Oryzias latipes: one gene and its partner. The protein of the gene in region 1 binds, or shares a complex with, the protein of each later gene. Links are inferred from orthologs where the notes say so. Each region holds a gene or a part of one and is shown in the gene's direction. Other genes may lie near its edges.

The links.
Region 2: the proteins of clspn (region 1) and chek1 are in contact, whole or in part, in a crystal structure (PDB 7AKO), measured with the Homo sapiens proteins. The link is inferred for Oryzias latipes from reciprocal best matches to the Homo sapiens genes CLSPN and CHEK1. Residues at the interface, in NP_071394.2 of Homo sapiens: Glu938, Leu940, Leu941, Leu943, Cys944, Ser945, Gly946; in NP_001107593.1 of Homo sapiens: Lys53, Lys54, Cys57, Met61, Arg129, Thr153, Val154, Phe155, Arg156, Tyr157, Asn158, Arg160, Glu161, Arg162.

Annotation. Positions count from the first base shown.
Region 1 is NC_019869.2:20,038,972-20,042,784, reverse strand, and holds part of clspn (claspin), read left to right. Parts: intron 1-477; coding exon 478-815; intron 816-885; coding exon 886-1,038; intron 1,039-1,114; coding exon 1,115-1,174; intron 1,175-1,251; coding exon 1,252-1,324; intron 1,325-1,398; coding exon 1,399-1,501; intron 1,502-1,756; coding exon 1,757-2,292; intron 2,293-2,360; coding exon 2,361-2,549; intron 2,550-2,624; coding exon 2,625-2,785; intron 2,786-2,990; coding exon 2,991-3,109; intron 3,110-3,183; coding exon 3,184-3,236; intron 3,237-3,320; coding exon 3,321-3,514; intron 3,515-3,654; coding exon 3,655-3,813.
Region 2 is NC_019872.2:13,136,600-13,140,861, reverse strand, and holds the start of chek1 (serine/threonine-protein kinase Chk1), read left to right. Parts: upstream 1-1,291; 5' UTR 1,292-1,547; coding exon 1,548-1,612; intron 1,613-2,485; coding exon 2,486-2,600; intron 2,601-4,007; coding exon 4,008-4,116; intron 4,117-4,228; coding exon 4,229-4,262. UniProt on the Homo sapiens protein: Serine/threonine-protein kinase which is required for checkpoint-mediated cell cycle arrest and activation of DNA repair in response to the presence of DNA damage or unreplicated DNA.

The DNA of each region.
Region 1 (3,813 bases):
CAAATTCTATGTGTTTTTGTCTCTCTTTGTACTAACTGTCCCACGAACCAGTACCGGCCCGCATTCGCTGGGAACCACTGATCTAGAATGATCGGGATGTTGGAAAAACGTGCAGTGCTTCTCTGGGTCACTCTGATACGGGATGCCTAGAGAAACACGAGGAAACTCTAAAAAAAACAGTTTTTAGATAAAACATAAAAAAATGAATTTTACATGAAGCTTTGTCGCAAATTATTATTTATGTTAAAAAAGAAAAAAAGCTGCACTGTTTTACAAACCAGACTCATGACTGCTCCTCCACAACCTCCTCCTCCTCCTCCTCCTGTTGGAGGCAGATAAAGACAAAACAGGAAAGGGCCGAGAATAGAGCCCTGAGGTTCTGTGTCTAATGTGAACACCTTCTTCAGGATTAAGTCTTCATTCTCGGTTCATGTTTATTTTTTTTACAGATTCTCTTTTTTGTTGTTGTTTTTGCAGACTCTGATGATGACATCACGGCTCACAGAAAGCCTCGCCGTGTCGCCATCAGAGACAGTGACAGCGAGGAGGAGGAAGCGGCAGAAAACGGCTTCCCTGTGGCAGAAGCTCAGCAGCTATCCAGCGGCGAGGAGGAGCAGAGCAGCAGGAAAGGAGCGCAGAGGAGAGTTGCCCACCGGCTCACCGACAGCGAGGACGGCGAGTCGGATGGAAGGGAGGAGTCGCAGCAGGCAGAGGCGAAGAACAGAGAGAAGAGCCGGAGGCGGCGTGAGAAACAGGAGAGGCGAAGTAACGCGGTGGAGAAGCTGAAGAGGAGGAGGTTTGGCGATGAAAATGAGGTAAGTTCTGCTTGCTCAAACGGATCGGAACAGAGAGATGGTGAGGTAAAAACCCGTCTTGTCTCGTTAGGGTGGTGCTTTGCCGCGATCGCTGAACGACAGCGGGTGTCCGTTGGGCGACACGGACCTGTTCGACACAGGGCTAAACGACGAAGAAGAGGAGGAGGAGGAATCTTTGGACGCCATCCGAGCTGCAGTCAAGCAGAAGATGAAAAAGCAGGAGGTTAAGATAAATATCCGAGTCAGCCGTCTGCTGGGGCTCCACGATGAAGCCTTGCTCAAAGGTTCTGTTTCTTTAGGAACGCCTTCTAAGTGAGGGGGATGACGATGACGAGGCAGCGGAGAAGCCCCACCGCGCGGTAGGCGGAGCCAGAGTCTCCCCCCAAGCCAGGGAAGTGTCAGTCATGTGATCAACTTGTTGTTCTCCTGTCCACAGGAGAGGAAGGCGGCGAGGGCGAGCCGAGAGGCCATGAAGCAGCTGCACAGCGAGTCGCAGCGCCTGATCCGAGGTGAGCGCTCCTCCGCCCATCTGCGGCGCCCCCACCCGCTCCACCTGAGCTAACATCCCCTCCTGCCCCCACAGAGTCCTCTTTGGGTCTGCCATACCACATCCCAGAGCCCAAAAGCATCCACGACTTCTACAGGAGAAAAGCCCGCCCCCAGGGTCCCGCAATGGCACTGCTCAAGTAAGACCCTCCCCACGACAAACGTAGTTTGTTCTGTTTGGGAGTTTGACTCTGAGATATAGGCGTTTAAGTCGTTGAGCAGAAGAATTGCAGTGCAAAAAAGGCAGGAAGTTGGTTTGCTTTTTCAAAATAAAAGCCCCTTCATGTAAAGGCACTAGGAAGTCGCGCTGAGTTTCTCTCCAACCCTGGAGTTGAACCTGCGAACAAATCAAAGATCTTTGCTCTGAAAACAATATTTCATCTTTCTCCCATCAGATCTTCAAAATACTCTCAGATGATGTTGGAGACGCCGCCCGACGCTCCTCCCGTGAAGGAGTCCAGCCAACCAACTACAGAGCAGGAAACCCCTGCTTCCCTGGAGCCCTCAACCAATCAGATTGAGTCTTTGCCTGTGCCCTCAGCGACCTCGTCCCCGCAGCAAGAGAGAGAGAGAGCCCACGGAGAGAGTCTCTGTGGGCCAGACGGAGCTTCTGGAGGTTCTGATCCGGAGCTGGAATCGGGCCCGATGCTTTATCTGTCGGAGAGTCTGCAGGAGTCAGACGCAACGGAGAAACCTGTTTCTGACTGCGAGCGGGGAAGCCTGGCCCCGCCTCCAGAGGAAACCAGAACTGCTGCAGAGTCGGGCTCTGAGGTCCAGCAGCAAGAGGAGGCGGAGCCTCCTGCTCCTCTGCTCGTCAAAACCAGGAAGCTGAAAAGACTGAAGGAGCTGGGCCTGGACCCCCCGCCTGTGGCAAAGCTGTGCGCGGACGAGGGCGCTTTCGTTCAGCTGGAGCCCCCCCAACTCAACCCAGGTGAGTTTGATTCCGCTGCATCTTTGACCTGCCCCTCCGTTTTGCTCATGGCCGCCAACCCCCCACAGGCGTAGCGGCCCTGAAAGAACGCTACCTTCGTCACATTCAACCCCCGGCGCACCCCCCCGGAGAGCGCACGCTCCAGCTCAACATCGTGCGCAAAGACAGCGCCCCCTCAGGGCAGGAGGAACTGCGGTCCGAGACGCTCACGATCACTGTCAAAGATGGCGCCGAAGAGCCGGTCCCCGCCAAACCAGGTGAGGAAGAGCAGCAGGCGTGGGCGGAGCTACAGGGTAGTAGTGGGGGTGTGGTTAACTGGCGCGTCTCTGAAGGAGAGAAGCTGCTGAGTCTAAAGCAGCGCCTGCAGCTCGCCATGGCACAGCGGCGCAGGGAGGAGCGGGCCCGCAGGGCTGAGCTGCACCGCCTGGACAACGAAGACTGTGAGGAGGAGGAAGAGGAGGAGGACATGACAGATGAGTCGGAGGAAGAGGAGGTGAGAACTTTAAGGGTTTTATCTGAAAGATTTAAAAAAACAAAAACCACCAGACTCAGCGAAAGGAAAACCATTTAGGTTTCCCTGATGGATTTGAGCCTCAGTGCTTCCCCCTGCTGGTGTAATCCAGAAAAATCATAAATCATGGAAACCTTCAGAGGGTCTTCAGATGGTTCTTAAAAATTCCAAAACAATTGTGTTTCAGGGGTTGGATGACTTGTTGGGCGGCGCTGAAGAAGAAGGCGAGGTGGCGCCTGTGTCCGACCTTGTCCACGCCGACGGCACCCTCATGCTGTTTCCCGGCAGCTCGTGCTCTCGTACCGGGTTCGTTCCCCCGCAAAAAAACTGTTTAAAAAAAAAAACTTTTTAAGACTTTAACGCGTTACGTTCTTCTTCAGCGACGGCGTCAGGAGAGCGCCGCCACCTGGGCCCGACAGCAGCAACAAGACTGGTGAGTGCTTGCTGGTCTTGCCACTTCCTGTTGACGAGCATGTTGGGTTGAAAAGGGCGCCATCTGTCTGTGCCCCGCCCACAGAGGAGGAGGACTCCCTGTCCCTGGTGAAGGACATGAGCCACAACAGCAGCTTCGAGCTGGCAGGATCCATGCTCACCTCCTACCAGCCCGTCAACAACCAGCGCGCCACCGGGAGAGCGGCATTCGGCTCCGCCGCCTTCCGGTCGCCATCGCCATGCTTCTTCAGGCCCAACTTCCTTGGCTCGGCCTCGAAGGTAGACAACTTCAGAAAAGTTTATGAATTTTCATTTTTAAGTTATTTTAAGTGTTTTAATTTTGCGACAGAAGTCTGAGTAAATAAACTTAAATAAAGTCTTAGAAAAAGTTCTTAAATCATTTTTTTCTTTCCTGACAGAGTTCTGGAAAACTCTCGGAGCCGTCCCTCTGCCTCCCGGTGGAGGACTCTCAGGACCTGTATGCCCCCCCATCCCCCGGCGCAGACTCAGGCCAGCTGGCGGGGCCCTCCTCCAGTCGTGGAGTGGGCGGAGACTCGCAGGGGCGCTTCTCCCTGGAG
Region 2 (4,262 bases), on another chromosome or scaffold:
CAGCAAGACTTCTCCAGTGGACAGAAGCTTCCATGCTGAACCAGTTAAAAGTAACAGTTTGAAATTTGGGTTGTGTAAATGAAGCTTTTTTTAAGGAGTTATGTAAAAAAAATTCTTTGAACAAAGATCACTCTTTTATTTATTCAGTTTCAAAAGACTGATGCAACGTGAGACTTTTCCCCAACTGCAGTATTTGTCCTTCTTCATGGTCTGATTTAGATCAAGACTAAAGTTCATCTAAAAGAAGGTGAAAGGATTTCAAACAGTTGTATGAAAGTATTAATAAGTTCATGCTTGGAACTTAATGTTGTCCCCTTCTATGAGGAAAATGCAGCTCTACGTGCTGAGGAAACAGCTTTCAAATTTGTATTATTTGCAAATAACAATCCATGTTAATTTTAAACGTGTCAATCCTTCTGTTAAACAACATACAGAAAATACAATTTTGGGGAATTTAGATGGAATTCAGCTTGTGTGAATTGTGCTACATTTGGTAAGTTTCTGCTCATAGCAATTTTACCTTAACATGCTCAGCAGTGAGATGTGGTGAGTGCTGGTGAGGCACTGATGTCATCAGTCAGTTTAACAAATATATTCATATCAATTCAGATTAATTTTAGTTATACAGCACATTTCATGTAAAGAAAACAGCTCAAGGTGCTGTTAATCAAATCAAATAAGGATGCAAAAACACCAATGCAAAAATTAATAAATAAGCCCCTATGCCACAGATTAACTTATTTATACCATTTAATTGGTAACACTTGAAGTGGGTTGTTTAAGATTTCATTTCAACATTTTTGTCAATGTAGGATAGAAAAAAAATCACCAAAGTTTTTATTATTGACTTACTTTCGCTTTAATACAGTTACACATGAAAAAGAACTTTGATAAGTCCATGAAAATGCTTTTAATAACATTATAATTTAGGCGACATTGCACCAGCAAGCAGCACTGGCTGTGGCTCGTAACTGATTTGATGCTAGCACATGCAGATTGTTGAATTCACTCGCACAGCAAATAAAATGAAACAACAATATCACAACGGGTCATCAATTTAAATAGAGCATCTTTGCGACCGTTTGATTGACAGCAAATTAAAAGGAGAAATACTCAGACATGCAAAAATGAACTGATTTTTATTACAACTGTTCTCTTTCATAAGAAAAATGCCAGAAAGACATGTCAAAAACTTTCCTCGGAGGGATACTTATGAGTGGAATGTAATATGTCCTCCAATTCCGGAATGACCCGCGTGGTGGCGGTAATGCACAAAAAAGTGTTTTCCAACAACAGAAGAAGAAGAAACGGAAGTTGTCACTGGGAAAGTTCTTAGCGCCAAATTCGTGAAGCTTTGCTGGTTCTGAACCGAACTGGCTCGATGGATATCTGTGAAAAGGAACAAGAGGAGACAGCAGCCGTGTAGATTGGACTTTTCAGTCTGACCAAACCAGGCTCTCTGAGCCGAGCAGCAGCTGTTGTCCACTTTCAGGACTGGTTCTGTTCTGACCGGCTCTCTCTCTCTGTTCTCCATCCTCATCATCATCATGGCGGTGCCTTTCGTGCAGGACTGGGACGTGGTCCAGACGCTGGGAGAAGGAGCTTATGGAGAGTAGGAACCCTTTTTCTTTTTGGACCCTTCAGAAAGTCTTTTCATGGCGTAGCAGGACCACACGTGTTCATTAGAACCCACACACAACATCTGCACACACATCTGCTGAAGACTAGTAGAGGAGTTAGTGAGCGGGTTTCAGTTTTGGAAGATTTTGACACTTATCCCTTGTGCTATCAAAGGCACGTTAACGCTGGGAGTGGGGTCATCTGGACCCCACAAGTCAAGACAGTGCGCTGAACCTTTTTTTTTCAATGATTTGTGATCTTCACTGGTGTCCATGGATTCCATGAAATCTTTCCACCTTTATCCACCTTTGTCATGGTAGGGAGAACACGTCAATGTAAGGGTGGGGTCATCTGGACCCCATAGCACAAGGGTTATTGATGGATCAAAGCCAAATCTAACTAACAGAAAACTTTCATTGTTGTAAATTAGACATAAAAGTAAAAATCATTGTAAATGTTTTGCCATTAAAATGATTACAAGCATAACATATGATATGCTTAGATTAAAGCGGTCCGAATCTGTTTTTAAATATTTTAGAATAGGACCATGTGGAAAACCCATCAGAAAAAGTTATGTAGAAAGAGTTTTAGTGAGGATTTATCACACGGGAAGAGAGGCAGGAGAAGAACAGCTGTATATGTATTCAGATAAATTATAAAGATGAAAGTGTAATGCAACAAAAAGGATAAGAATCTGACATGAAATTATTATTTACAAAAAAATGTTTTTTTGCAAACACATTTTTAACCAAACTGATTTGTTTTGAATAGAAATTTAATAAATGAAGAGGGAGCAATGCAATTGAGAATTGATTTTATCCTTATTTTTGGTTTGTTTTTGTTCCTACGCTGATCTGGTGTTCAGAGTGAGGCTGCTGGTGAACAGGCAGACGGAGGAGGCGGTGGCGGTAAAGGTGATCGACACGTCACAAGCAGAGGAGTGTGCAGAAAATGTCAAGAAAGAGATCTGCATCCATAAGGTATCCCAGCCACGTCTAAAACAGCTGGTCCCAACCAGGCACTTCTGACACAAATCATCTCTCATTTTTGTTGTTTAAGCAATTTGTTTACAGATTAAAAAAGGAATCTATTGAATAATTTTTGCATTTTTAAAAACCTGAATAAGTACCCATTCTTACTGGTTAATTAAAAAGCTTTGAACTCCCTCTCCGATTGTCTTTTGATCTATTTTCAAAAAATGTCCCTGGTGGTCTTTCAATTACGATTATTCCATTATTAGCCAAAATGAAAAAGAAATGTGTCGTTTTCTAAGACATACAGTTAGGACCATAAATATTTGGACAGAGACACATTTTTTCTAATTTAGTTTCTGTACATTACTACAATTTGAAATAAATCAACTCAGATGCCATTGAAGTGCAGACTTTCAGCTTTTATTTCATGGGTTGAACAAAAAGATTGCATAGAAATGTGAAAAACTAAAACATTTTTTAAACACAATCCCTTCATTTCATGGGCTCGTAAGTAATTGGACAATTGACTTCCATGCTATTGCATGGGCAGGTGTGGGCAATTCCCTTGTTATGTCATTATGAGTGAAGCAGATAAAAGGCCTGGGGTTGATTAGAGGACTCGTGCTTGCATTTTGAAGATTTTGCTGTGAACAGACATGTGGTCAAAGGAGCTCACCATGCAGGTGAAAGGAGCCATCATTACGCTGAGGAAACTGTAGCAGTTCATTAAAAATATACCTCTGAGTTGTGGGCGGAACCGTTGACACGGAACAACCCTGTCCTCACTTCCTGACACCCAGCTTTTTACATGTTATTCCACTAGCTTACAGCCCCTCACATCCTCACCCTAACATTATCGGTGCAACACAAATGGCGAGCAACATTGGACCCATGCAGCCGTACAGTTTCTAGCCAGATACCACCTCGGACGAGGAAGACGAAGACCTACATGGATATATTCATCTACAGTCAGGACCATAAATATTTGGACAGAGACACATTCTTTCTGTACATTACCACAGTGAATTTTAAATAAAACAACTCAGATGCCATTAAAGTGCAGACTTTCAGCTTTTATACCATGGTTTGAACTAAAAGATTTCATAGAATTATGAAAAACTAAAGCATTTTTTAAACACAATCCCTTCATTTCATGGGCTCTTAAGTAATTGGACAAATACAAAGGGAGACATTGTATTTTCTACATTGCAGATACGTTCTTTTTCAAACGGTCTTTTTTTGTGATTCGCAACCATTTGAAAATAAAAATACTCAAAAATACCATTGCAAGCTCAATTTTCTTCATATAGTTTTTTCCATCATGAGAACATGTTGAGAAAACCAGAAACACAATTTTCGTCAGAGTGGGTCTTTGAAATTGTCTGTTCATCTGAAATATTATTTTTTTTGTAGATTCTCAACCACTGCAACATTGTAAGGTTTTTCGGTCATCGGAGAGAAGGAACAACCGTCTATCTCTTCCTAGAATACTGCACTGGAGGGGAGCTGTTTGACCGCATTGGTAAGATGCTCACTTTAAATTCAGCGGAGTCTTTACTTGTTTTGTCTCTAAGGATTATTGTGGTTTAATGTTGGTCACATTGTTTGCAACTTCTAACTAATGTTTCCTCCAGAACCTGATGTGGGGATGCCAGAGAGAGATGCTCA